Danio rerio: one gene and its partners. The protein of the gene in region 1 interacts with the protein of each later gene in a pairwise test. Links are inferred from orthologs where the notes say so. Each region holds a gene or a part of one and is shown in the gene's direction. Other genes may lie near its edges. The genes, in order: trim54, si:ch73-264p11.1, tshz3b, tcea2, cdkn1a, dtx2 and iqub.

Region 1 (4,300 bases):
ATAAGCTGCTTATTAACAGTTTGTGAGGTAGTAGTTGGGTTTATGTGTTGAATAGGATAGTGCGTGTAGAATAAGTATTATTAAACAGCCAATATCTTAATAACAGGCAGGTAATAATCCAGTAGTAAATAAATACTTAAACAAAAGTCTTACTAAACCTTCATTTTGCTTTGTTGCTTAACCTCTTTTACATGTGACTAATTAAACTTAATAAAATTCCAATATAATCTAAACTACACTGATATTAATGCATTGCATAGCATTCAATGTATTACTACACTTCAAAAAATGTCTTTTGCTGCTTAAACTACTCTCTTAAAATAAGCTGAAACAACACAATTCTTAAGGGTTTTTTAGGGCACACTTAATATTGGAAAAACTAAGTTAACTTAAGTGAATTGAACAAAAAAATAATATTAAAACAATTAAGTTAACATAAATTATTTGTGTTGAGACAACTTGAGGGAATTGTGTGGAACCCAGCATTTTAACAGTTTATATACTATATTTGTAAACACTGGATTTGCAGGTACAGTGGGGGGAATAAGTATTGAACATGTCACCATTTATAAAACACATAACATGAAATGCATATATAAAAAGAAAACCAACTAAATTAGTTTACAAATTAAGTGTTGTGTAATAAAATGAAATGAGACAGGAAAAAGTATTAAACACATGAAGAAAGAGAGGTGTAGAAAGACAGTGAAAGCCCAGACAGCAGCTGAAATCTCTTAGTAGTTCTTCAGCAACACTCTGCCCTTCATCATTGTAAATGAATATTAGCTGCTTCAGTCCAACATCTACATTATCAGGATGATGAAAATAAAACCACAGTGGACATTTCAGCAAGACAATGATCTAAAACACAGTCAAGGAAACTCTCAAATGCTTTCAGAGATAGGAAATCAAGCTGTAGAATGGCCCAGCCAATCACCTGATTTGAATCCAATATAGAATATGAAATAATGATCAGATTTGATAGACGAGACCTGAGAGCCATCAAGACTTTTACACTGTTGAAGCCAGTGAAAAAAGTCACACCTGAGCAATGCATATGACTTCATTCTCCAAATGAGAGGCGTCTTTAAGCTGCCAAGTCAACAGCACCTTTAGAAATATGTTTTCTGAGAAAAATGTTGACGTGTTACTTATTTCCCCCACTGTATATCCACATAATCTATGTGTTCAGAGCACTTAGGCTTTGTTTTAGGTGGGTTATATCATCGGCGCCAGCTCGGGCTCATGGGCCTGCTTGTCTCACTAGCCTTTGAGTCGCACACACCAGCTGCTTGGTCTGCCATGCCCACTTTCTGCTCAAGTTACCACAGATAACACAACTCTGAGCAATCCGTTCTCCCACCCCTCTCTCTTGCTCTCTCTCTACCCCGGACCCCTCAATGCAGCGCTAACTGGGGTATTCAAAGTGATATTAAGGGGGTGTGCAGTTTGGACAGTAACCCAAGCCAGTACAAACACAGCCCAAATATATCCTCTGCCACTCTACGGTTGGCGATTGATTGGGCATCTGGATGAAGACTGGCACTGCTGGAGAATAACAGAAGGAAAGGAAGTTTAGGATCTTAAGCTATTGACTGAATTTGGTGTCCAAATGAACTTCACTTTGGGCTTCAAACCGTCGATCGGAGATTCCAGCTCAATGGAGAACTTGGAGAGGCAACTGATTTGCCCCATCTGTCTGGAGATATTCAGCAAGCCTGTCGTCATTTTACCCTGCCAGCACAATCTCTGCAGGAAGTGTGCCAATGATGTTTTCCAGGTAATGCTTTATTGCTGTTATTATATAGTGTACGGCCTGTTTTGAACTGTAGTATCTAGAATGCTCATTTAACTTTTGAGAGCTTTTTTGTAATTGTAAAAGCTGGAAGAGGATCTGTGTTTTCAAGCCATCTATTTTCCCTTTAGAATGCCTAATGAGTTTTTAAAATACTGAGTTTGGATTTATAAGTTGAAACTGGTTCAAATGATGCAAAGAGACTTTTTGTTCTTTAATGTAAGGCAAGATGAAGCAAGGCAAACTTTATTTATAGAGCACAATTTTAAGCAACTGTATTTGATCCAAAGTGCTTTGCAATAAAATAAACTAGACAATAAAACTAAAAAACTGGTATTAAATACAAGGAAATGTATATGTTTAAAAGTAATACTAAAATACAAGTTAAAAAAATAATAATAATAATAAATAACATGCATGCATCACTCAAAGGCAAGAGAGTAAAAATAAGTCTTTAAGTTAGATTTAAAAGCATCCAATGAAGGAGAAATCCTGATGTTCAGGGGGGGACTGTTACAGAGCCTTGGGGACACAGAAAGCTCGATCACCTTTTGGTTTGAAGCAAGACCGAGGGACAAAAAAAAAAATTTGGTCATGGAATCTTAACGGTCTACAAGCTGAATAAGGCCTAATAAGTTCACTGACATAGACCGGGGCAGAATAGTGCACTGCTTTATAAGTGAAATGAAGAATTTTAAAATCAACTCTGTATTTTATAGGTAGCCAGTGCAATGAGGCAAGGACAGGGAAGATATGATCTCTTTTCTTAGTTCCTGTTATTAATATAGCGGCTGCAATGTACGCCCCCCACCCCCCAAAAAATCGTAAATTAGCAGTTTTTTGTATGATTCACCCCCTAAACCCCTCACCCCTTCCCCCAACAGAAAAATAGTACTTTAATATATTTTCAGAATTTAAAAAAAAAAAGTTACTTTCAATTTCAAATGTATTTGCTGTATTTTAGATCAAATATATGCAGACTTGGTAAGTGAATAATCTTCTTTCAAAAAACAATACAATTATTTCACCGAACACAATAAGAACGCAATTTCAACATTTTGTGATAACATACCCAAATGATTAAAATACATTTGATTTATTTTAAAAATCATGGTAATTATTATATTTTAAATGTATTTTTAAAATGTAATAACATTATTATACACTGTAAAATTATTTTGTAAACTAGCAGTTTTTGTGATTCACGTTGTTTATTGATGCTTTTATTTATTTGTTCGTTTAATTTTGTTGTTTGTTTTTGTGGAGTTTTCAAAAAAAAAAAAAAAAAACCTCAATATCAATGTTACAATTTTTTTTTTAAACAATAGCTCAGGGTAAACAAGAACATTCAAAAGCCCTCAGTCCCCCATCCCACCCCAAAGGAGGAGATTAAAAAACGCACACAACAACATAAGCACCTACAAGAATTGCAACTAAATAAATATACATAAAATATAAATAACACACACAAACATTAATAAAAAGGGCAGAGATCTTTCTTGAAAAAAAAAATCATATAAATCAGTGAAGAGATGTGTTGTATTCCTGACAAAATTAATTACAAAAGTTTATTTATGCTTTTGAATTACATTATCGGACCTTGATCTTTCTTCCAATAACATATAACCTTGAAAAGTTTAAAAATGTGCCGTTTATGAACCTTTTTTATACTTTAAAGTGATATGTTGTCTGGGTTGGTGCTCTATACGGTACCGAATTGTGTGAAACCTAGCATTTTTTTTTACACTTTGGCATGTTCAAGTGTGTTCAGTTAGTGTTGGAGCAAAACTCTGCAGGGACACCAGCCCTCCAAGATCGAGTTTGTCCATCCCTTAACTAATTGATCAGATATTAAAATGTTTTAAGTTATATTGTTAATGATGTTGTACAGTATTCCCTTAGCTGAGGCCTAATATGAAACCAGAACTCAAAGTACCATAGCATCTGTCATACAGAGATTAATGATCCATTTAGGCTTTCTTTTTTGTGCCAATCTCTTTTACTTTGCTCCTTTTGGCATTAGTTTATTCATCTCATCATCAAGACAAGTTCATCCTTTAGCAGTCATTATTAGTGTTGTTTCTTCTCTCTCTGCGAAGTGAGTGCCATTAGGTCAGACTTCAACATGACTGAGTGCTTCTAATTATACTTTTAACAGTTATAAAAGATATCTGATGGGAACATTACACATTTTTTTGGGCAAATAGATTGATTCTGGCTGGAAGTGCATTCACAGCGTAAAACATATGCTAGAATAGTTGGCGGTTCATTCTGTTGTGGTTACCCCGGATAAATAAGGAACTCAGCTGAAGGAAAATTAATGAATAATACAATAATAATAACACATTTAATTTACAAAGCTCCTTTAAAAGTTACTTTTTTAAAGTGCTTTGCCTACAAACCTCATTTATTAAAGGGAACAACAGTAAAAGATCAAAACAGATTATTGAAAACATGTTAATTAAAAGCAGTCCTAGACAATTCATCATTATATATACTCCAGAC
Region 2 (3,957 bases), on another chromosome or scaffold:
CTAATGGTGGCATTATTCTTTTAATATTCAGCTTCACCGCCGCCTTAATGCCAGATTGTGAAGAGAAGTGGAGAAACAACTTGCACAGCCTTTATCTTAATTTCGTTATTGCCAAAATACCCGTCATCATTTAGAGTTTATTTTAATTTGATTTGTTAAGCAAGATTACTTTTCATTGGTGTGTTGGATAATTTAAAGGCTAAGTGCATGTACCTAGACCAGAGCGCTGAGATGTTACGATGTTACAGCTGTAGGACTTATTTTATTTCTTTGTTCCAACTTTCAAGTGGCCTATAGTCTACGCTTGTTACGAATAAATGATGTTAAAACATATAAATGACTCATTCTTAAAAAAATGCATTAGAGCTGTGTGCATGAGCACATTTTAATGTAGGCTGTGAACGGGTTTGGGCTGTATAAAGCTGTCAGTCAAAATGTACCTGTCGGACTCGGGACCTATCGGGTATAACTGCTGTTCCGCGGGAGCCGGCCAGATTTCTTACGGTGTGGGAGTAAATTTCTGAATAAATCGCGGGAGAGATGTGTGTGTGTGTGTGTGTGTGTGTATTAATATTAACTAATACTTTTGTTCCAATATAAATGTTATACTCACAATACTTTAGATAATGTTAACAAGCTCAAATTAAATGGATTACTAAATGTTGAACTATTATTAATAAATACATTATTGTGTTAGTAAATAAACCCAAGTCACATTTTACTAGCATTTCTTATCACATTTCAACCAGTAAACAATATCAACTGCCAACATTGAACATACAACTGTTAATTGTTGATATAAAAAAATATTTAATTTAAGAATTTTATATAAAGAATACTTTTTGATGTTAACAATTAAATAGTTGATATCAACAATTCAGTTATTTCAAACGAAAGAAATATAATGAATGCTGAATGTTGAAATCAATAAAGCATATCCTAAGAATAAGTCAAAACGGCTTTCCACAGAGAGCCATAATAATATCAACAACATTTATTATTTTAAGTTTTGTTGTGTAGTTTCAGGTTAATTTACCTCGATAGTACGCTGAGATGTTCAAATGATTCAAATGTCGCGGGTGGTGGGATGGTCTCTATGGTTTCAGCAAACAGTCATCTTAACTCCGCCTAAGATCCGCCTCTGCCCATTTTCGAGTATCCGGGAATGACGCACTTCCAAGATGGCGACGGCTGACCACGCCTACAGTAAGCTTCATTTGCGCTCTTCAGAAACCTATGGGTGACGTCACGGACACTACGTCCATATTTTTTACAGTCTATGGTTGTAATGCGATTACAACACATGCAATAAATAGACTTAGGCATTCATTTAGTTGTTCAAGTGTAAAACGAGATGAAAGACCTTTGTAATTACTAGCGCCATCAGTAGCAACAGGCTATTGCAGAAATTCCATTGAAAAATACTGGGGTAAAATATTCTGTCATATTTTAAAGACATGGCGGGGGGAAATGTAATTTAATGCAGTGCTAGTCCGATCTGAGACCCACTTTATAGCCTATCGTATATCTGACATTCAGTGAAGATCGCTGATTTTTAAAGCAATCAGACCTTAAACGTGACAATTTTGTAATGAAAGACTGTCTTGCTAAAAATTAAAAGACTGTGTGCATATAGCCTATTGAGTTCGCCCAATTTTGAAAATGAGTATTTTTTATCCTTTTCCCAGTAAATATAGTCAATGTATTTTGGTGCATTTAAGCAAAACAGATTTATTAAATATATATTTATTAAAATAATATTTAGTCACTAAACATATTTAGTGATATTTTACATATTTGTAAGTTATTTTGTTAGATAAGCTCTAGGTTTGGCTTCAGTACTGACCAATCTAATGTATATGCACAAATATAACATTGTATAGCTTCCTATTAAAAATATGAATTTAATAGATTTGTGAGGGTGCACTATATGCTATAGGTTGTGAGTTTTTAAATAATCTTTTTAAACCTGTTAAAGTTCTAAATTTACGGAACATGTGTAAAAGACGGCCACTAATTATGAAAAATGATATAGGCTAGGTTAAGATAAATATATATATATATATATCGCACGGTTACTGCTTTTGGTACATCTACACTTCCTTTGACCACTACGCACTCTAACCCACTTCCTATGAGCTGGTTCGTGTCTGTCTGCATGATATGCATGCCCTTTGATGGAAAGCGTGCATCACGCACATTCATCGTTTCTGAGTGTAGGCATTAAGGAAGATTCCCTCCGCAAAGATAACAAGTGGACTTGTGACGGAAACATCTGATCTCTTGGTGTAAACAGCAGTTGACCTGCTCTACCCGCTCCTCACACGTGCGATGTGAAGCATGGACCATCCATCGTATCATGGCGCGATCACCAAACAGAGATGCGAGGAGCTGCTCGGCAACAAAGGGCGGGATGGGACTTACCTCATTCGGGACAGCGAGACCATTCAGGGAGCTATGTGCCTATGTGTGTAGTGAGTATCTTTTGGTATTCATGTTTTTAGTCATTGACTGAGCAGAGCTAATTCGTTGTAAATGTCTTGCTTTCTCAGTTATACCAACGTGTAAAGGTATTTATTCAATTACCAGATGAATGAATGGAGACTGGATTACAGTACTTAAAGGGATAGTTCGTCCAAAAAATGAATAATTCCTCGCAATTTTCTCAGACTCATTTGGTTCTAAACTTATGTGAGTTTGTTTTTGTTAAACACAAAGCAATATTTCGAAAAATGTTGTAAACCAGCAGACATTAAGTCCATAGAGGGAAGAAATAATACCATTCAAGTCAACAGCTCCTGCTTTACGTCGTCCTTCCTTCTATTTTCTTTTATGTTCGACAGGAGAAAGAAACTCAAACATGTTTGAAACAAATTGAAGATGAGTAAATGATGACAGAATTTTTGGGTGAGCTAACTTTAAGCTATCTCTTTAAGTTGAGCCACCCCCTAGTAAAGTTTGACAGGTATTGACAGCTACATTGACAGTTGTGATAATGTTTTGTTATATTCATTAATTGGACATGTTTTTACTTTAAAAACAGGGAAAAGGCAGAAACATTGGCATTTTTAGGGCTGCACAATATGCTGAGCCACCCCCTAGTAAAGTTTGACAGGTATTGACAGCTACATTGACGGCTATAATAATATTGTGCATATTGCACATGTACATCAGTTTCTTGCTTTGCTTGCTACTATCATAAAAACATACTTAAATTATGAAAATATAAATTTAAGACATTTTCCACACCGCTTTTTTTTGTTTGGGTTTATATGTTGACATCAAATAATGAAATGTAATAAAGGAGTAAACAAGCTAAAACATCAATATAAGTTTTACTACAGCCATTTTATAGCAGGTCAAATGTGAAACTTTGATTTTGACCAGTCTTAAAAAATTATTAATGACATTTTAAAAAAAGTGTTGCGTGATTTTTGTCACTTAGTGCAATAATGTTATGTTATATTCATTAAGTGGACATGTTTTTACTTTAAAAAGTACAGGCAGGAAAATTGGTATATTTAGGGTTGCACAATATCCGTTTAACTGGCTGCTCTACCAAATGGTTGACCATATTTTAAATACTGACTTTTAAGTCATCTAAAGAATGACTGTTTTAAATAATAGTTTACACAGCATTGTTGATTTACAAAAAAACTAAACAAATATAATCCTGTTACACTACTACAGTTGATTTTGGTTTTATTGTAAAAAAAAAAACAAGAAAACATGTTTAATAAGAATCTGAAATATTTCATGACACACTTCAAAAAATAAAAAATGATTTACTGTTCAAAAATGTTTTATTATGATTATGTTTTTAAATTAACTTACACTTCAGATTTTCACATTTTTTATAGTATATGTATTAATTCTGGTACTTTACACATAAACTGACAAATTAACCAATTTGGTAGGGGTTGATAATTTAGAAATTATGGAATGTGTTGAAAACAA
Region 3 (3,997 bases), on another chromosome or scaffold:
ATATACACATGAGAAACACAGAAAAAATGAAGTGAAATAAAAATGTGACGTACCTTTTCTTCTCTTTGAGTAACTGAGAACAATCACAGTGTTGTCATTTTTGGCAAAATAATAATGCAAAACTTCCTAAATCGATGTAATTTACAATCGAACATTTTGGGGATTTTAGGATAAGCACATAAAAAGGGGGCGGGATACACTGAACTGCGCGCTCACGTTCATATGTGCAGCTGTTCTCTGTTTCACACACACAGAAACGCGCACACACACACTTAGTTATAACTTGTAGTTATTACAAGAAGATTCCATTTTATTATTTGCTAATTGCTTGTATTTATTTGTTTTATTATTTGGATATAGGCCCATGCATCTACACTTCACAAAGTACAAAGCTGAGGAAAAATATTACCTGTCTATGTTATATAGTCTTTAAGACAACGAAAGTCTTTAAGACTTTTAGAGACGTAGTCAACTAAATTCGGAGTTCAAAACAAGATTTAATGATATAGCCTAATTAGGTTTTTTCGTCAGTGGTCACATGCTCATACTAAAACTATCGTTGAAATATGGCCCTAAAAATGAACACAGCAGTCCAGAATAAATTTTATATAAAGCTGTAATTCATAGCAAATAAAATAAACCAGTAAAAGATTTACCCCAACCGTGAAAACTGCAAAAGAGAATTTAAAAAGTAGTGTCAGACTTTTTTAAAGAAAGTAAATAAATAAAGGGTAAATAATTCTTATATGCTAGCTTATGAATATCTGATCCGATTAACGCAAAAACCAATGCGATTTAGCATACTCGTTGGTAAACTATTATAAACGCGTAACATTGTGGCTATAGAAACATTTCTCCGCTAAAGTTTTCAAATCCACTCTCGTGCACATAGACTTGCCACTTAGTTTCCGATTACCCATTAGCGCTATCGTAATTATAAAGCTCATTATTCCTTAAACGAAACAAAATCGCAAAGCCTCCCCCACTCAGCACTGTAATCTTGCTTTATCAGTGGTTTGATGAAGAAGAGAAGCTGCCCGTAGTTAAAGCGACTCCGTGCGGCGTGTGTGTGTCTGTGTGTGTGTGACACTGATGGATGCGCCAATGGTTAGACGGACAGATGCTTGGGCGGATCTAACGGCATGCACACACGAGTGAGTGAGATTGGGCAAAAACATCCCGGATCCTTGAAAGACCGCTCTCTTCCCTTTCAATCTGCCCCTGTGAGCTCGGCGCGCGGACATTCAAGAGGTTCTGGACATTTTTAGGGGGTTTTACTGAACGCTGCGACTTCCCGACTGCCCCCCTTTTCCCGAGGACTCGACGCGGTTCCCTCCGCGGTGAGATGTGAGAGGAGACAGCAGGAGCTCCAGGACAAGACGAGGACTTCAGTGGAGGAGGCAGAGTCTGACAACAACTCACCCTCAGCTAGTAAACAGAGAGGAGTCTCACAGTTCCAATCTCCTCATCCAAAACGGACAACTTCGCCATTTCTCCACTACAAATGACTTTACACTGACTCCAATTTACGCATAAAACTGTCTCTTTCATAACACTTGCTATTTTTTGTCTTAAGTAGATGGACATATTTGAAAAAATGTTGATCTTACCGTCTTAAAAAGTCCATTCTGTGAAGAAAACAACGGATTTTCGAAAGTGACATTAGAGGAGAGAAAGGCGTCTCGGGAGCGAGAGGAAGACGCGTCTGCTTCGCCCGTTGCTGTTTTTAAATACCTGCTACAAGCCCCACAAAGAAGGCTAAAAAAGTGCTATTAGCGGCCAAGAAAGTGTTTGGCAATAGCTCAGTGATCCATGCTCTCGCAGCAGCAGCAGCTGAGGCGCAGCCCGAGTCCATCCCCTCCTTCTGATGTGCGTTATTACAAGCAGGAATACCCAATCAAACACCTATCGCATCGATTCTCTCAGCGGATTCCCAACGCGCGGGGACAAAATAAGCAAACGAGGCAGCGCGCGGGCGACAAGTCCGTCCATCTCCTCCTTCAAGCTTTTTGTCTTTCCCCCGGTTTGTTTATTATGAAAGAGATGGACGTTTGAAAGACGGTGGGCACTTGGAGTCTTTGGGATTTTCACAGAAAGCTATCGGCGACAGCAGCGCTCGTTTTTTTTTTTTTTTTTTTTTTTGTATTTTTGGGGGGGCTTTTCAAATTGTATGCGATTACTCAGAAGGATTCCTCATGGATAACACGTTTATTCGGGCGATCGCGTAAGTAAAGCTTTGATGTTTATGTTTGTAAATCACTGATCACTGCTGCCTGCCTTGCACTGGCTTTACGCTCAAACAAAAAAAACGTTAACTCAGATTGTCGATTTGCTACATGCCTATGTAAGTGTCAATCATTGCATATCTATAGTTGTTGTGTTTGTGAGCTGCTACTTTTACTATTAGAGTGCATTGGGGTTGGCTGCGGTAGGGAGAGAGAGGGGGAGAGGAAGAGAGAGAGAGAGAGAGAGAGACATATGCCTACCCACATGACATGAGCTAGCTAACCCATTCGAGATGGAAGGAGTTAATATGACAGTGCTTGATGTTTGCCTCTGTTTGCAGACTTTGAGTGACGCGATCATTTCGTTTTCCTTTAAGCTTGCCTGTTGCAGCTTCCAGCGCGGAGTGAGTGAGGATCGCACTGAGGCACGAGCGGTTTTTCTCCCCACTGTAGCGGCTCGACTCTCCGTCATATCCAAAAGACGCGCGGGGGGAAAGAGAGAGAGGAAAGAGGGGGAAAATCCCGCTTCGTCTTCATCCTCTTCAGATCTTGCCGTCTGATTTTTTGGTTTGAAAACTGCCGATACATGTCAGGCGTGTGAAAGCGCCCCAGGTGCCGTGTATCAGAGCAGAAGCGGAGCAGCTCTCGGGATCTCAGGGGCTCCTGAAAAAAAAACCCTGAAAGAGAAACATGCCGCGGAGGAAACAGCAAGCGCCCCGGCGCTCGGCAGGTACGGCTCTTCTTCTTCCTCCTCTTCTTCTTCTTCATTTGCTCTTCTTCACCTCTCAGATGTATTTTTTTATTTTTTGCACGATTTTCTTAGTAACGCAGTATGTGTGTGCGCGAGTGTTGTGAATGATTTGAAAATACTACCCACTCCTCCTTTACTTTATCAGATGGGTTTAAACGCCGAAAAACTTTTTCATTTCTTCTTTGTCTTTTTATTATAATTTTAAAAGCCTATGTTTTTTTTTAATTATTTTTATTACATTTGTGTAGGAGATTGTTTAAAGCCACATAGCAGTCAAACGACTGAATAATAGTTGAACTTCATTCAAGAGCACACTTTCACTAGCCTAGTTCTTGTACTTTGGTCAGTCCCCGTGCAGCTGAAGCTGAGTCGACTGTAAGTCTTTTGATTGTTCTCTCTTTTACACCGCTCGCTTTCCTCGTAGGGCGTAGATATTGACTCCATGAATTAGAGATCTATAAAGAAGAGCAGGAAAAAAGGGCTTGGGTGTCAGCTGACTGTCATGACTCCCTTTGATGCTCGTTGTTTTGGGGGCTTTTGTGCGAAAGCAACACATTTGATCTCATTTGACAACTTTATTTATTTTGCTCATTAATTTTCTTCTTTATTATTTCTTCCTCTCCGTTTCTGGGAATGACACTTTAAGATTATTTTGTAGCTGACGCGATGGTCTAAGAAGAGCCTTTAATGGACAATTGCCATCTTTGATTTGAAGGCTGATTGATCGCCTGTCATCCGGATGCTCTTTGATCTATTCATTCCTGATAAACATCAATAAATCACTCGCCATGGCAACGCCACAACCCCGTGACGTCACGTCTGCTTTGACAGCCATCCATTAAAACATCTTTAATTGCTGCATTTCTACTTTTTGTTTCCACATAGGCCATGAACAAGGCCACATTTACTCCTATTGCTTAAAGAGCACCAACATCAGGAACACACACAGAAACACACCGTTTAAAAACAACGATAGTTCTGCTTCATTCTAATGAACTGTCTAAAAATAACAGAATATATA
Region 4 (4,002 bases), on another chromosome or scaffold:
AAACAAATGCTGGATAAGTTGGCGGTTCATTCCGCAGTGGCATCCCCAGATTAACTATATATAATATAAGGCGAGGTAGTGGCGCAGTAGGTAGTGCTGTCGTCTCACAGCAAGAAGGTCGCTGGGTCGCGGGTTTGAACCTCGGCTCAATTGGCGTTTCTGTGTGGAGTTTGCATGTTCTCCCTGCCTTCGTGTGGGTTTCCTCCGGGTGCTCCGGTTTCCCCCACAGTCCAAAGACATGAGGTACAGGTGAATTGGGTAGGTTAAATTGTCTGAAGCGTATGAGTGTGTGTGTGTGTGTGTGTGTGTGTGGATGTTTCCCAGAGATGGGTTGCGGCTGGAAGGGCATCAGCTGCGTAAAAACTTGCTGGATAAGTTGGCGGTTCATTCCGCTGTGTCGACCCCGGATTAATACAGGGACTAAGCCGACAAGAAAATGAATAAATAAATGAATAATATATTATAATAAAATATAATATAGCCTAAACCCTTTTTGGATGATGAATATAATTTTGGAGTATGACGATTGCAGTTGTCAAATAATTTAAAAACTCTTTAATCCGTGTTAGGACTGCATTGTCTCCTTAATAACCTAAAGTTGTTATTGTTTTGTTTTTGTTTTTTTTACACCAAACTGGCTGCTTGCTTCTGTGGTGAATAAACTCCACTCCCCACAACACCCTGCTTCGAAACAGAAACTATGTGCAGTGCAGCTCATTTTCGCGAATCGATTCTTTCAAACACCACTCAATGAACAATTCAGGGATGATTTTTGTTTATGTCATCACGTGACCAAATGACATCTCTTTGTGGCATAAAATAGGCTTAGAAAATCAATACTGCAATAGTTAACCTTTTTTTTTTACTATCAAACGTGTTTATTTTAATTCACATTGACCTAGTTAGTTAGTGGCTCACAAGCATTGGACATATCCTGAAACTTTTTTGACTTTTGTGTTGACAATTCCCACAGAACCATATAGCCAGTAAAGTACATTAATAACTTACCTTTCACTCCATTTTGGTCACTTAAAATGATACTCTTGTGTCATTACGAAATAAAATGGCCAGAAAAGACGATGTTCTTGAATGATTTTCCAAACAATTGGTGAGTTGTTGTGTCGAGAAGCACAGTCACTGATTCAATCTCGTTCGTAAACGAATCGTTCGAATTCAAGTGATTCTTTAAAATGATTCGACTCATAAGAACGACTCGCTCGCGAATCAACCATGCAACAACAGACGAGAGCGAAGTGAAAGGCAGTGGATTCCTCTCATTCTGCCACTAAAAGAGAGACACACAGAGAGAGAGACGGGCGCATTTTCACACGTAAATGGAGGCTTGGCCACCGGGCGCCATCAAACAGCCCTAAACCTGCAAACATGGTGAAGGACCAAGAAGTGGAGCGCATCGCCAAGAAGCTGGACAAAATGGTGCACAAAAAAAACACCGTAAGTGACACACATTTTTTTCTGTAGCATCTGATAATAATAAAACAGGCAGGAGAACATTGTTTATTCGACGTTCGTTCGTTCATGTTTGTATCCGTTAAACCAGCAGGAGACTAGTTGGTGTGTGTGTGATTATCACCTGTTTCATCCTATTCCAGACTACCGCCCGGTGTGCTCTTATTGGTCAGTCTCCATTGACAATCACTCGTTCGTTTTGTACTCTCATGTTTGAAGCGTTTGTGTGCTGTGATGAGCTGGCAGCTGGTTGTTCTCCAAATTTCTCCAGCGCAAACAAAAGACTCATTTATCTAGTACTTCACACAAGTCAGCCCCAGTTTCGTCCCCAAAACATAGTATCTGCCTGTGTTTTTGTGTAAACCAAGCTATAGTTGAAGAAGCTAGTGTTTACTGACGCATTTAAGAAGTTGTTGTAGTGACTGTTTACCAATTTTGTTTGTTTCTCACCTCCTTGTGTTTTTATGTTCAGGATGGTGCCATTGACTTGCTTCAGGAGCTGAAGAACATGAAAATGTCTTTGGAGACCCTACAGGTATCTACATAGACTGCAGAAGGCATCTCTGGAACGAGTGTGTGCTGTGCTAGATTATATAATCAACTCTTTTTCTTTCTGTCAGGGAATCCCATGCTAGTGTTCTCATTGGCATACTGTTAGTACTGTTGGAATTTCAGCAGAAAATATCTGAATAAATTACTATGAGCCAATCCCGAATATAGGAGAGGACGTTGAAATCTCAATCAAATTCTCACAATCCAGTCATGAAAATGTAATCAACTCTATAGACGAATTCAATGTTGTCATGTCATTGGCCCAGTGAACATTTTCTGCTTGTTATCAAACTATTTCATTACTGTAACAACAGCAGTGGTGTAAAATAACAAATTACAAATACTCCGATTACTAAAACTGAGTAGTTTTTTTTTCTCAGGAATTGTAATTTACGAAGTAGTTTTAAAAATGTGTACTTCCCCTAGAGTACATTTTTACAGCAGTATCTGTACTTTTACTCCACTACTTTCCTTCAACCTGCAGTCACTATTTGTTTTTTTCTTGTGTACGGGGATTGGCTTAGTAAAAAATCTATCCAGCGATTCCTGTCCAAATCAAATCGCACAGAGAAAACTCAATTGCATCATATTGAACAACCTCAATACATGGATGCTTTATACATGCAGCAAACCATTGTAAAAGTATTGCAATTGTCCAAGAAGATGTCAAAAATCTTTACACGCAATGAGCCAGAGGCTTTTTAAACTATGTCACTGATAAGAAGATGAAGGGTGTTTACTGTATGATGAAATTGTCAAATGGACTTAAACAATCACTAAATGCACTACAGAATGTTACGTTTACACACACACACACAAATTGCATGTACACGCATCAGCTTTTCACAGAGTAATACTCAATTCTCACTATTGAGTACTTTTATCATTGTGTGGCTCTCTTTAGATTCTCGAAAGCTTTAGAAATTATAAAATGTAAAACAGAAAAATACGCTGGGACCATTGTTTTTGTTTGCATGTCTCAAAATGATCTATAATGTCATGGCGTTTGACAATTTTTCGGATGAGTACGTAAAAAATAGCAATTCACACCTAATGAACCCTGCTGACTGATCTCAGAAGTGCTAATTTCTTTTTCTTTCTTTCTTTCTTTCTTTCTTTCTTTCTTTTAAATGGCAGAAACTATAAATCTAGAAGACCACAAATGCATTCAAGACCATTTTTTTGCTTGAATTTGATAAAAAGCACACAACAGAGCAACTTTCATGAATTAAACTACGATGTGCTTTCAATTCCAGTTTGTTCGTTGAATTTAATTTAGTATCATTCGTGTTTATTTTTTGATTTATGATTTAATCATATTGCCAATGTTACAAAATGCCAAAATGATGCACAAAAGGCACAGTTTATTTACTTCAATTTTATTTAGTTATTTATTTCACCCTACATTACTAAATTGCATAAACAGTCAGTGTTTTTTACTTTGGTTTAGGTAATTTAAGCAAATGAATGTGAGAAATAACTGAAAACATAAATATAATGCATTATCTCCACTGTCTTGCTTGGTTGGGACTTGTGGAGCTGCGCATCGATGGATTTGCTCTTCAGTGTTTGAACTTTCAGTAGTGAAAATTTATCCACACTAAACTGAACTTCAACTTTGACATCTGGACTCATACAAATTCTATTTTCTAGAACTTTGTTAAGGGGCTTTAACACAATCTACTTCGTAAAAAGTGCTATAGAAATAAACCTGAATTGAATTTTATAAGCATTTAATTTTATAATATTTACTAATTTCAGTTAGAGTTCGTTTTAGATGATGAGCAAAATATTTTCTGTTTAATATTTTATTTATTTATTTTTTTTTATTGTAATACCCCTGAGATGGATTTAGTCAATATGGATGGAGGTAATGTGCAGACAAACAGCCCTTATTGGTCCCTGAGGAGAAATTAAAGCACAACAGATCATCAGTGTTCAGAAGGAAATACCCCAGAGCTCTGGCTTTGTCTTTCGATATCA
Region 5 (4,123 bases), on another chromosome or scaffold:
GTATGCAAGTATATAAGTGTATATATAAATCTATTGCATCCCTGCAAAAATAAATATATAAATAATTATTCGTGCGGTTTGAAAGAAGGAAAAAAAATGCTTCATTTTCAGTTGAACATTTTCTTATTCCCCCGACATCTGTATAATTTATTTAATTAATAATCTCGCCGCACTATTTTTATATTTATTTATGCAGGAATTTGTGGGTTTTATATGTATTTATTTGCATATTTATTGTTTTATTTCTGCAGGAATTTATGGATTTATTAAGGCCTACTTATGTATTTGTGTATTTATTTATTGTTTTATGTATGAAGGAAATTGTGGATTAATAAATATTTATTCATGTATTTGCATATTTATTCATTTATTGTTTTATTTATGCAAAACTGTGGATTTATTTATTATTTATTTGCATATTTATTTATTAATTTATTTATTTATCTATTGTATGTATATATATATGTATGTATATATATATATTGTTTTATTTATGCAGGAATTTGTAGATTTATTCATGTATTTGCATATTTATTTACTCACTGTTTTATTTATGCAGGAATTTGTGGATTTACTTGTTTATTTATTTGCATATTTATTTGTTTTATTTGTGCACGAATTTGTAGATTTATTAATTTGCGTATTTATTGTTTCATTTATGCAGGAATCTGTGGATTTATACTTTTTTATTTGCGTATTTATTTATTTATAGTTTTTGCAGGCTTCATCCTCCATATCTGTACCATTAAACAAAAATTACGAAACATTGCAGTTTTATAGATACTAATCTTAGGAAACAAATATGTGTGTGTGTGTATGTGTATATATATATTAGTTCAGGAAATCTCACTTTGTTAAAAATTGTGTTCCTGACGTCATACATGCAAGAACAGTGTTTTTTCTCCACGTTTACACACTTTTTTTTTTTTCTTACAAAGGCTGAAAGACCAAAAAACACCAAGCTGTAAATCAGTACATCTGGGTGGGGTTACTATATGCCCAGCAGCTCCTGGAGAAGTACTTCAGAAATGTTTAATATATCTATTAAATATATGTGCTTATTTGAATTGTTAGCGTGATCACTGATTTCTCTATATTTGTTATTGATGAGTAAATAATAGCACAGTCTCGTGTAAAAACAGCGCGTTTTCTGGGCGGCTCCTCGGAAGGTTCTGTTCTTTTCTGTGACGCTGATCTTCTGGAATGTCTCCACGCGCTCACGTGTGGTCATGTGTTTACCGGGCTTCTAGTCCACGTGCAGCGCTCGCAGGCTCCGCCCACCGCCTCGACACGCCCATCGGAGTTCATAAAGTTTGGGAAAGTGTCGTCAGAGGCAGCAGAAAAACTCCAGTGTGCAGATCCTCCAGCTCAGGATTGAGTTTCTCCACACTTCCAGCTTCAGGTGTTCCTCAGCTCCTGTTTTAAACCTGATACTGCTCCTGAGGAGATCTGAAACCCTCACATTCACTCTGACATCAGCGGGTTTACAGTTTCAGCTCTTGCAGAAGCTCAAAACATGTAAGTTGCATGTTTTAAATACTTTTGCACGTTTGTTGTCGGGTATTTGCTTATATATTGCTTTATATATGCTGAAATTGTGTTAATGTGATGCTGTGAGTGCTTTAGTGGAACTTTTCTAAACTTTAGTTTGCTCTGTCAGATAACACTCGACTGAAATAAACACCTCAGACTGACTTTAATCGAGAACTGTGCTGATCGACCGGTGTGAGTTGTGATTGATCGATTGTTATTGTGTTATTGTGAACTCCAAAGTCTCGGTCGTATCAGATCTCGACGTGTTTTCCACCGGCTTACACGAGTTTCAGCTTCACGTGGAGCGCTGGAGTGAGAGGGCGTGTTCTTGTCAGCTTCTGGCCAATCACAGGCGGACTCGGTTTCCCGCTGACTTCTTGAATTTTTTTTTCCTCGAGATGAACGGCACGTTCCATCGCAGAAGCCAATCAGAGTCCAGTGACAGGCGCGTGACGTCACCAATGAAACTTCTTTCTTCATCTAATTTTTTTTTTTTTTTTTTTTATTTTTTAGAAAATAACTTTTTGAAAATTGGGCGGAAAAAACTCTAAAGAGCACGCCACATTACAGAAATATTCAGAACTACCAATGATTTAATACACTGTCAGATTTAGTAAGTGTATTATTTTCTATATATTTTAATCATGACATGCATTATTTCAGTGAATTATGCAGTTTAGTTTGTCAGGGTTGTGGTGTGGTAAGTCTCTTAAAAATCTTAAAGGTCTCCTGGTAAGTCTCTTAAAATTAGAATCAGACTGAACATCTTAGATAAAAAATTTGACCTCTGACCCTCAAGAACATGTTGCCCATTATAATGCACGAGAGTTCATGACGGGTGTATATATATATATATATATATATAATCATATATTTTAGTAAGTAATTTTATTTTGTTGATGATGCATATATTAAATGCACACATACAGTACATACACACCCATATATATATATATAACGCCAACTTTTATGAAGAAAACGTATAATATTGGCATTTTGCTAAGTAAATATGTAGATATCATGTATCTTACAAAGAAAAAACTCAATTTTGTTAAGTTTCATTCATTTAATGCAGATTAAGATGGATTATCATTATAAAATTACACAAAGTTTTGTGTAATTTAAACATTATTAACTTAATTTTTCAACTTTTTTAAATGAATGAAAAGTCAATCAGTTGCCTAATATGGTGATTTTTTAAAAACTATTTACCATAATATTAAGATAAAGGTTAAAAAGGAATTGAATTATAATGAACACTGTCAGTTTTAATGACAGTTCTTAATATTACATTAAGATTCTAGTTTTCAGTTTAAAGGCTTAACCAAGTTACTTTAAGTCATTGGACTACAGTGGTTTGATAATGAAGCTTCACTGCTGGACTAATAATGTAGCTGTTCAGCTGTAGGCGGCGCTGCATGTCTAGCGCTGCTCCCTCTGGCGGCCAGGCGCGCTCACTGCAGCCGCTCGAACATGCCCGAACAAATGCCGGTCCTCTGTGACTCACTGCCCAATATAAAAGCACACCAGCCCGCAGAAACTCTCAGTCATGACAGCTCAGAGGCGCAGAGCTCGCGTGGAGTCAGCAGTAGGATATTTATGCGAATTAACCAGGAAAATGTTTTATTAGCATGCGAAATGTTAAGGTTTTCTGGATTGATCTATATGTTTTTTTGTGTAATACCTTACTGAATTATGATTATGTAGTTGTCTGTAATTACCTATTGATATTTATATTATTATTTATTTTTAAAATATTAGATTATAAAGATTTTTGCATTAGTAGATAAAAAAATATTATTTAATGAAGTGTGTGTGTGTGTGTGTGTGTATACATATATTTATACATTTATTTATTTATTTTTTTTATCTATTAGAATTTTGTAGTCACCATTTGTATTTGTTTTTTTTTATCCCTTTTTGATTGATGTAACTATGTATTTATATAATAATATATATTTCTAGGTCTCTTATAGAATTATGAAGTTGTCTGTTTATGTAATATTGGATTGTTATAATGACACAAAGCTATGGTAAATCTATGCTTGGTGTTGCAAAACCCTATTTTTAGCATGGTCTAACTTCCAAATAGTAAACAGTAAACTTTAGGGCTTAAACATAGGTCTGTATGACTGTGGCTTTATTTTAAAGTACACAAGAAATCCTCTTGTTGTTAGCTCACATTGCTAATTTTGTGATGAACACTTCATCTGTGCATGTTATTAACAAAACAATAGTTTACATTGTAATCCTTAATGTAAATCTGTAAATGAACTTCCTGTTTGTTCAGGTAAATTCTCAGATTGATCTGTCTGAGGTATTGGGTGTGGCTAACATTCTTAACCACACCCCTAAAACTGTCATCGCTATGACAACAAACAAAAATAAGTAGGAGGAGGAGTCTGTTCGGTTGTAATAACTCTCCCCAAACCCTTTTCCCCATCTTTCCCCAATGGAACGCCTACTCTACTACAGCCAATCAGCTAGCAGTAGAAGAAAACAAGCCACGCCCACTGTTTTCATTTAGAATTCAGTTTGTCTAGGAACTGCGTCACAATACGAAAAAAAATGCAGGTTCTGGTTCATGTGG
Region 6 (3,352 bases), on another chromosome or scaffold:
TCAAAACTATCAATGGAGGACCAAAGAGCTCTCAGATTTCATCCAAAACAGTGTTTCTCAACCACGTTCCTGGAGGATCACCAACACTGCATGTTTTGGTTGTCTCCTTTGTCTGTCGCACCCATTACTGGTCTTTTAGTCTCTGCTAATGAGCTGATGATCGGAATAAGGTGTGTTTGGTTAAAGAGACATGGAAAATGCACAGAGCCGGTGGTCCTCCAGGAACGTGGTTGAGAAACACTGGTCTAAAATATTTCAATTTGTGTTGTGAAGATGAAGGAAGCTCTCAGGGGATTAAAATAACATCAATAACAGAATTGTCTTTGTTGGGTGAACTAACTCCTTAAACTGAGGCTGTTTATTACGTTCATGTTTACCATCTGCAGGTGCTGGAGCTGCTGAAAGTAGCATGGACACGCCGTCTCATCTTCACCGTGGGCACTTCCAGCACCACAGGCGAGCCCGACACCGTCATATGGAACGAGATCCACCACAAGACTGAGATGATGTCTAATGTGTCTGGCCATGGGTATCCTGACCCAAACTACCTGGACAATGTGCTCTCAGAACTGGCATCGCAGGGCGTAACCGAAGACTGCCTCAAACGAGACGCTCAAGGTTCTGCCATGTGAATAACCGGCTACGGTAGATCTAACTTGACGAAAAGGGAAGAAAACAAAACTAGAGTGTCCGCTGTTCACCAAGAGATTTGGATGTTGATACCAACTCATCCATTTCCACGCGTACGGCCGAGTCTAGAATATTAACGCACATGTGGGCTTCGTGGTCATCTTTAGTTTCAGCGTATTGTGAGGCAGCTACTGACGGTTCTGCAGGAACGACTCGGGGTTTAATGACCTCTATCGCCAGTTTAGGCATTCATCTCAATATACAGAGCTGTGACGTCCTTCCTCAAATACTACATTACAGTAGAGCAGAGATCATTGTACTGTTGCTGGGAATCAAGCTGACACTATTTCGTTAAAGGGAAAGCTCAACCGCATATGACATTAGCTTTTTTAAAAGCTGTTGGCCATCCAAGACTTTTTTTGGGCTTTAATAGAACATTTAATGACTATTTTTTAGCTAAAATTTCAATGCATGTACAGGCAAAACAAAAGGACGTTTGCTCTTGTTGCTACATTGAGGTCTTATGAAAAGAAATGATGAAATTGAACATTAATTACTACATTATTACCTATTATCCAGAGCCGAATGGTTCCCAAAGATCAAGAGAACAATGGATTATGGCATTTTGTTAAGCAAAATGTAAACATTTTTAAAGAATACTTTTAATGAAGGCTCGTTTTACAGGTTAGTTTATAGGCTTTTAATAGGCTCATTTTACAAATTTTTAATTGCCTCACTTTACAAATCACCTATTGGTAAACTTTTCAGTTTTTGAATCCAATTGAACTAATCTCCAGGTCTGTTGAAAGCTTAACTTAATGTTTAAGCTTAGCTTAGCACAGTTTATTGAATCGGATTAGACCATTAGCATCTTGCTCAAAAAAATTACCAAAATTAGCAAAAAAAAGTTTTGATAGTTTTGCTATGTAAAGCTTGAAAGTTCTGTAGTTTTTATTTAAGTGCTGCATAATATTATTGTGCCTGTCGCAGCCATGGTACGGCATCAAAGTTCTTTGATTATTATTCAAGAATGAGAGTGTAGAAATATCATATAGCCATATTTAAATTTTCCATCACTCTTAGTACACAATGTAGACAGAGAATAGTCAAGCTTTAAATAGGAAAATTAATGAAACTGTCTTTTGAAAATTTTGAGATGCTAATGGTCTAATCCGATTCAGTTAATTATGCTAAGCTAAGCTGAATGTGCTCTCGCCAGACCCCGGCAATCGACTGGATGGATTAAAATATGGTAAAACTCTATGGTACTTTTAAAAGTAAAAGGGGAGTGTTTCTTTAATGTTTAATAGAAGTCATTATGCAACAGGGCGTTTATACTCCAGTAATGTTATGCTATAAATAATGTTCAGTTTCTTTCACAGGCCAGTCAGTTTGCTTTACAAGACCTCTTGTATCTCCAGGAGCCATATGTATTCATTTTGTTTTGTCTGTATGTTTACTTTTATTTTATTTTACACTCCCAAAGTGCTGATATTTTTTGACATGCATCATATGACTCATCAAGGACCACTGGAAAAAACATCATAGATGATAAGAGGGTGAGTAAATTAACAGTACAATTTAATTTTGGATGAACTATCACTTTTTAAAGCAGTAATATACAAAAACATAAAATTGCACATCAGTGCAAATCATAAATCTTTACTAGTGTTGTAAAACGTACCGCTTCAGAAATAAAAGGCACTTTTACAGAATCTGCAGCTAATTTAGTTCATATTTAATTTTTTTTTTCAGATGTCAGATTTGGTGATTTCTCACTTGCTGCTATTCTTTTAATTAATAAACATAAGGGACTTGTTTGTTTTCATTGATTCCACAAAATATTGCAACTTTGAATTTACGTTCATTTTATCGATTTCAAAATCCAAGCTTGGCAATACTGCTAGTGCTGGTTTTATTCATAAGTACATCAAGTAAATCAGTGCTGATTTTATTACGAACGGGACCTTGAAAGTACACGTAAAAAATGCAGTCTCGCAGCGTTATTATTGAGTTGCAGTATTACATTGTGCCACAGAGACAATCAGCAGTGTTTGATAAAATTACAGTTCATTACCAAACAGCTAGTGTGGAAACATCCATTCATTCCTTCATCTCATATTCCACGGTATGGGATCTTTGGTTTTACAATGTATGCAACTGTATATATAAATATATATTCAACTTCTAATCAGCAATAAACACTACTCCATTTAACAGCACCTCTTTGTTTCTGTTACTTGTTAATAAGTATACATACTGTAAAAAAAATCAGTTTTCTAATGTTTTTTTTCACCGGCAGCTGGGATGCTGGAAAAAAAAAGTAAAATAACAGACATTAAATTACAGAAATTTCCATTAAATTTCTGTCATTTAACGTCTGTTATTTTACGGTAAATTTCTGTCATTTAACGGCTGCTATTTTAAGCTAAATATCTGTAATTTAACATCTGCTATTTTGTGGTAAATTTCTGTAATTTAACGTATGCTATTTTACGTAAATTTCTGTCATTTAACAGCTGTTATTTTACAGTAAATATCTGTAATTTAACATCTGCTATTTTGTGGTAAATTTCTATAATTTGACATCTGCTATTTTACAGTAAATTTCTTTCATTTAACGTCTGCTATTGTACAGTAAATTTCTGTAATTTAACGGCTGTTATTTTATGGTAAATGTCTGTAATTTGACGTCTGTTATTTTACGGTAAATTTCTGCACT
Region 7 (4,298 bases), on another chromosome or scaffold:
AACCACTTACCTGCTTCATCTCTCTGCATCAGCTGCATTGTTTTTTAAATAAATACCCTTAAAAGATAACCTTCCTTGTGTGACCGTGACGAATTGTTAATGTTCAACTTTTTTTCCATCATGAAATGAACCAATGCCATTTCCACCGCATCTCAATATAAAGATTTATCTCAAAATAAAATAAATGATGCCAGTCATATTGTCTAAGATCATTTTTGTATCTAGCTTAACCTATTCTTCCACAATGTATACAATAATTATACATTTGTCAATGGAATAAATTAGTCCCTTAGGAACAAATGCTGAATTGTACAGCTGTCAGACTCTATGATTTAATATTATATTGATAAAGAGCTTATTAACAAATAAATACATTGAATTTGTATATTACAGAGTACAAGCTTATAAATTTTGAATACATTTTTAATGTTTGATAAGAACTTTTAAAAATTGTGTGTGGGGACTGAAATGACAGGGTGTTGTGGAAATGAAAACGAATCAGTGTTAATGTAGAGAAACATTAGACATTAGACAACTTTTAAACTCATTTTACAAAATTACTAAGCATATCCACACATTTTTGCATGAGTAAGGAAGAGCTTCATCTAAAAAACTGATTATCATAACTGTCATAACTGATTATTAAATATTATGTAAATTAATTTGAAAATAAAAGGTATTGCAGATCTACAGAGGTTGGACAATGAAACTGAAAGGCCTGGTTTAATTAATTAGTGGGGCAGCGTGGTGGCGCAGTGGATAGCACTGTCGCATCACAGCAAGTAGATCTCTGGTTTAAGCGTCAGCTGGGTCAGTTGGCATTTCTGTGTGGAGTTTGCATGTTTTCCCCATGTTCGCATGGCCACGTGTGTTTCCTCCGGGTGCTCCGGTGTCCCCCACAGTCCAAAGACATGCACTATAAGGGAATCGGGTAAGCTAAATTGGCTGTAGTGTATGTGTGTGAATGAGGGTGTATGGGTGTTTTCCAGTGATGGGTTGCAGCTAGAAGGGCATCCGCTGCATAAAACCCAAGTTGGCGGTTCATTCCGCTGTGGCGACCCCTGATGAATAAAGGGACTAAGCTAAAAAGAAAATGATTGATGATAACTTGCACAAAATGGTGACTAAAAATAACAGTAATTTATTTAAATGAGGGCGGTTCATTCCGACGTCGGATAAATAAAAGGACTAAGCCGACAAGAAAATGAATGAATGACTATTTGAGTAACTCAACTGTTTGACTTAATGCTTAAATTCATTCTGTCATCAGAACTAGGCTATATTTAGTTTAGTTTTTCAAGGGCATCAGTCGAAGTTAAATTTCTTCGAGTTAAATTACTTCCCGTCTTACTCTTATAATCCTAAACAAAGTGGTTCAGCTAGCATTCAATTACAAACGCTTTGCGAGTCGGTTAGACTGAATCACCAAAAAAGAATCGGCTCAAGCGAATGACTCATTTGTGAATGGACACTCCTAGCGACTGGCGACACTGTGGTTACCATAGCAGCGCCGAAATACAGTGAAGCCAGCGTAAACATAAGATCCACTATTTTATTTAAAACAATAATAAAGATTTCGCCGTCAGATAGCTTTCACAATAAAGAGAGGCAATCGTGTTTTTGCGTATTTTGAGCATTGAGTGACTGCAATGTCAGAAAAGGAATGTGAAACTGTGAACCTTGAAGAGCAAAAAATGTCATCAGAAGCCATTCAAATAGAGACTGAGGAGGCTGATGAAGATCAAGATGTTGAACACACGCAAGAGATCAGTGTGGACGTCATTACAAATCCGGACACACTTTTACTAGAAGAAAACAGCGCTGAACCAACTTCTGAAGACCAAAGACAACAAGACGATATAAACAAACAAGGAAGTGAAAATAAGATCATTTCTTCCAATGATGTTGGAAACTCAACAGCAACGGGTAAATACTAGAATCCATAGTATTGGTATCTAGGTATGACAGTTTTGTAATATAGAAATTTAAAAGAGAAATATAGGGATTTTGTAATGCAAACTAAATAATTTAAATGTTTATTCGAATTAGAAAAAGCTAAATGAAAGGTGAAATTAAGTAATCAAAATACACAAACTCAATCTAAATAAAAAACGTTTGCTTATTTAGTTTCTGCTCATTTGCTTAATTTTTATTAGCATGTATGCATATTTCTATATGCATTAAATAGTATTTTCCCCTACATGGTGTCGTTGTAATGTGTGTGTGTGTGTTTTTTTTTTTTTTTTTTTTTTTTGGTGCACTAATAAAAAACATTTTGTTAAAGCAGAAAAAATATATAAATATTACATGAATATGAAAAGAGAGATTTAAAAATGTTTATGGTAAAGAGTTACTAACTATAGATATATATACACACATAATAATAATAATAATAATAATAATAATAATAATAATAATAATAATGGCTCAGTAGTTAGCACTGTTGCCTCCAAGCAAGAAGGTCGCTGGTTTGAGTTCCGGCTGGAGTTTGCATGTTCTGGTTTCTCCCACAGTCCAAAGACATGCAATAATGGTGAACTGAATAAACGAATTTGGCTGTAGTGTGAATGTGAAAGTGTATGGGTTAATGGTTTATTCTGCTGTGGCTACCCCTGATGAATAAAGGGACTATACCGAAGGTAAATGAATGTATATATATATATATATATATATATATATATATATATATATATATATATATATATATATATATATTAGGGTTGGGCATCTAAGCTATAATGCCGATCCGATACGCATCTCGATACAAAGAATACGATCCGATATATTAGCGATACATTTGTGACATATTGCGATGCAACACGATACGATTCACACCCATATCACGATACGATGCGATATTTCAGCACTAACTTATTAGATCAAGTTTATGAGATGATGTGAAAGAGGATGCTGGTGCCATTGAATGAGTTTGATTATTTATAAACCAAGCAAAACCAAGACTTTTTTTACAAACTGGCTCTTCTCTCAGAGCCAGAGTGTCAGTTTACAGTAGAGGGCCATTTTAGAACCTATAGCACATATTATTTAAGTATTTTCAAGATAAACAGAATGTATAAGTGCAATATATATTAAAAATATATATATATTTGCACTCTTTCAACATAAAGGTTTAGCATTGCACAACAAAAATTGTGATTTAACTTTTCAACTATGAAAACAAGTTTTACAAAGATATTTTGCCACTGATTATTCAAAACTTAAGGTTGTGAACTAGCAGTGTTATGCTGCTTTGAAACATCACTGTCACTGTAAACAACAGGCTGATAAAAATATAACAAACCAGCAATCTTCTTGCTGTGAGGTGGTCAAACTACCCACTGTGCCACCCATTATTTTTATCATTATTATTATTAATATTATTATTATTATAATTAAATAAAAATTAACAGGAGGAGGTGTTTAAAACCTTCGTTCTCCGTGACACTAGGCTGAATATCTTTGCAGATGAACAATGCAATAGCATTCGTTATTGGCGTAGAGCGCACAAAACTGTTGCGCACGGAAAAAAAACTTGCTCTATGTTGCAAAAAACTTGGTTGAAGCAGTGCGAAAGCCGGGGATGCAGGAACACTGAAAGATGCTTTCACAACAACACCGTGGCGCCGCTTCAAGTGAGATTTCAGATTAGTCATACTGCCCGCGTATTTTACAGATGCGCGGCACATTTTGCAAATTGCATCTGTCCTGTCATGTCGTCCATCCTTAAATCCATAATGTTGCTTGCCATACTTTAGATTTAAAACTCAGTGAGGAATAAAATGTTTGTTTATATATATATATATATATATATATATATATATATATATATATATACTAGTGCTGTCAATCGGTTAAAAAAAAATTAACCAATTAATCGCACTTTTTAAAAATTAATCGCGATTAATCGCATTTAAAAGACAAACTTGTAATTTTGGCTATTCGAATGTAAAATTAATGTAAACGCAAGACAAATACTATTTAAATTCAAAATATAATTCATTATTAGAATTTTTGTTTAACTTGTAACACAGATTTCTTCATGTAAACAACATACCCACAATATACTATCAAGATCCTGGCTTGACAGCCATATTTATTACAGAAATAAAAACACGGGCATGTTAATGGCATTTGAATTTCAAAACAATCAATGCCAATAAAAAAAATATTGATTTCCATGTTGGATTTTAAGTGGACTGCAAAAAAAAATGCCAAAATACATGTATTACAAATATGGAAAATGAAAAATAATAATAATAATAAAGTATTGAATAATAACAATTGTACTAATTGCAGGG

Evidence for each region.
Region 2: the proteins of trim54 (region 1) and si:ch73-264p11.1 interact in binary tests that used the Homo sapiens proteins (3 or more experiments, as listed by UniProt). The two-hybrid records come from large-scale screens. The link is inferred for Danio rerio from reciprocal best matches to the Homo sapiens genes TRIM54 and SH2D1B.
Region 3: the proteins of trim54 (region 1) and tshz3b interact in binary tests that used the Homo sapiens proteins (3 or more experiments, as listed by UniProt). The two-hybrid records come from large-scale screens. The link is inferred for Danio rerio from reciprocal best matches to the Homo sapiens genes TRIM54 and TSHZ3.
Region 4: the proteins of trim54 (region 1) and tcea2 interact in binary tests that used the Homo sapiens proteins (3 or more experiments, as listed by UniProt). The two-hybrid records come from large-scale screens. The link is inferred for Danio rerio from reciprocal best matches to the Homo sapiens genes TRIM54 and TCEA2.
Region 5: the proteins of trim54 (region 1) and cdkn1a interact in binary tests that used the Homo sapiens proteins (3 or more experiments, as listed by UniProt). The two-hybrid records come from large-scale screens. The link is inferred for Danio rerio from reciprocal best matches to the Homo sapiens genes TRIM54 and CDKN1A.
Region 6: the proteins of trim54 (region 1) and dtx2 interact in binary tests that used the Homo sapiens proteins (3 or more experiments, as listed by UniProt). The two-hybrid records come from large-scale screens. The link is inferred for Danio rerio from reciprocal best matches to the Homo sapiens genes TRIM54 and DTX2.
Region 7: the proteins of trim54 (region 1) and iqub interact in binary tests that used the Homo sapiens proteins (3 or more experiments, as listed by UniProt). The link is inferred for Danio rerio from reciprocal best matches to the Homo sapiens genes TRIM54 and IQUB.

What each region holds. Positions count from the first base shown.
Region 1 is NC_133195.1:42,036,189-42,040,488, reverse strand, and holds the start of trim54 (tripartite motif-containing protein 54), read left to right. Parts: upstream 1-1,500; 5' UTR 1,501-1,612; coding exon 1,613-1,780; intron 1,781-4,300. UniProt on the Homo sapiens protein: May bind and stabilize microtubules during myotubes formation.
Region 2 is NC_133199.1:29,156,836-29,160,792, forward strand, and holds the start of si:ch73-264p11.1 (uncharacterized protein), read left to right. Parts: upstream 1-1,157; 5' UTR 1,158-1,206; intron 1,207-2,079; exon of another isoform or gene 2,080-2,220; 5' UTR 2,221-2,340; coding exon 2,341-2,474; intron 2,475-3,957. UniProt on the Homo sapiens protein: Cytoplasmic adapter regulating receptors of the signaling lymphocytic activation molecule (SLAM) family such as CD84, SLAMF1, LY9 and CD244. In SLAM signaling seems to cooperate with SH2D1A/SAP.
Region 3 is NC_133182.1:48,576,844-48,580,840, reverse strand, and holds the start of tshz3b (teashirt homolog 3b), read left to right. Parts: upstream 1-1,197; 5' UTR 1,198-2,224; intron 2,225-2,566; 5' UTR 2,567-2,915; coding exon 2,916-2,955; intron 2,956-3,997. UniProt on the Homo sapiens protein: Transcriptional regulator involved in developmental processes. Functions in association with APBB1, SET and HDAC factors as a transcriptional repressor, that inhibits the expression of CASP4.
Region 4 is NC_133198.1:8,860,857-8,864,858, reverse strand, and holds the start of tcea2 (transcription elongation factor A protein 2), read left to right. Parts: upstream 1-1,202; 5' UTR 1,203-1,383; coding exon 1,384-1,452; intron 1,453-1,939; coding exon 1,940-2,002; intron 2,003-4,002. UniProt on the Homo sapiens protein: Necessary for efficient RNA polymerase II transcription elongation past template-encoded arresting sites.
Region 5 is NC_133197.1:623,148-627,270, reverse strand, and holds the start of cdkn1a (cyclin-dependent kinase inhibitor 1), read left to right. Parts: upstream 1-1,323; 5' UTR 1,324-1,518; intron 1,519-3,078; exon of another isoform or gene 3,079-3,082; coding exon of another isoform or gene 3,083-3,121; intron 3,122-4,123. UniProt on the Homo sapiens protein: Plays an important role in controlling cell cycle progression and DNA damage-induced G2 arrest. Involved in p53/TP53 mediated inhibition of cellular proliferation in response to DNA damage.
Region 6 is NC_133180.1:65,451,274-65,454,625, forward strand, and holds the end of dtx2 (probable E3 ubiquitin-protein ligase DTX2), read left to right. Parts: intron 1-386; coding exon 387-632; 3' UTR 633-2,852; downstream 2,853-3,352. UniProt on the Homo sapiens protein: Regulator of Notch signaling, a signaling pathway involved in cell-cell communications that regulates a broad spectrum of cell-fate determinations.
Region 7 is NC_133200.1:30,219,505-30,223,802, forward strand, and holds the start of iqub (IQ motif and ubiquitin-like domain-containing protein), read left to right. Parts: upstream 1-1,498; 5' UTR 1,499-1,649; coding exon 1,650-1,926; intron 1,927-4,298. UniProt on the Homo sapiens protein: Adapter protein that anchors the radial spoke 1 (RS1) complex to the A microtubule of outer doublet microtubules in axonemes. The triple radial spokes (RS1, RS2 and RS3) are required to modulate beating of the sperm flagellum.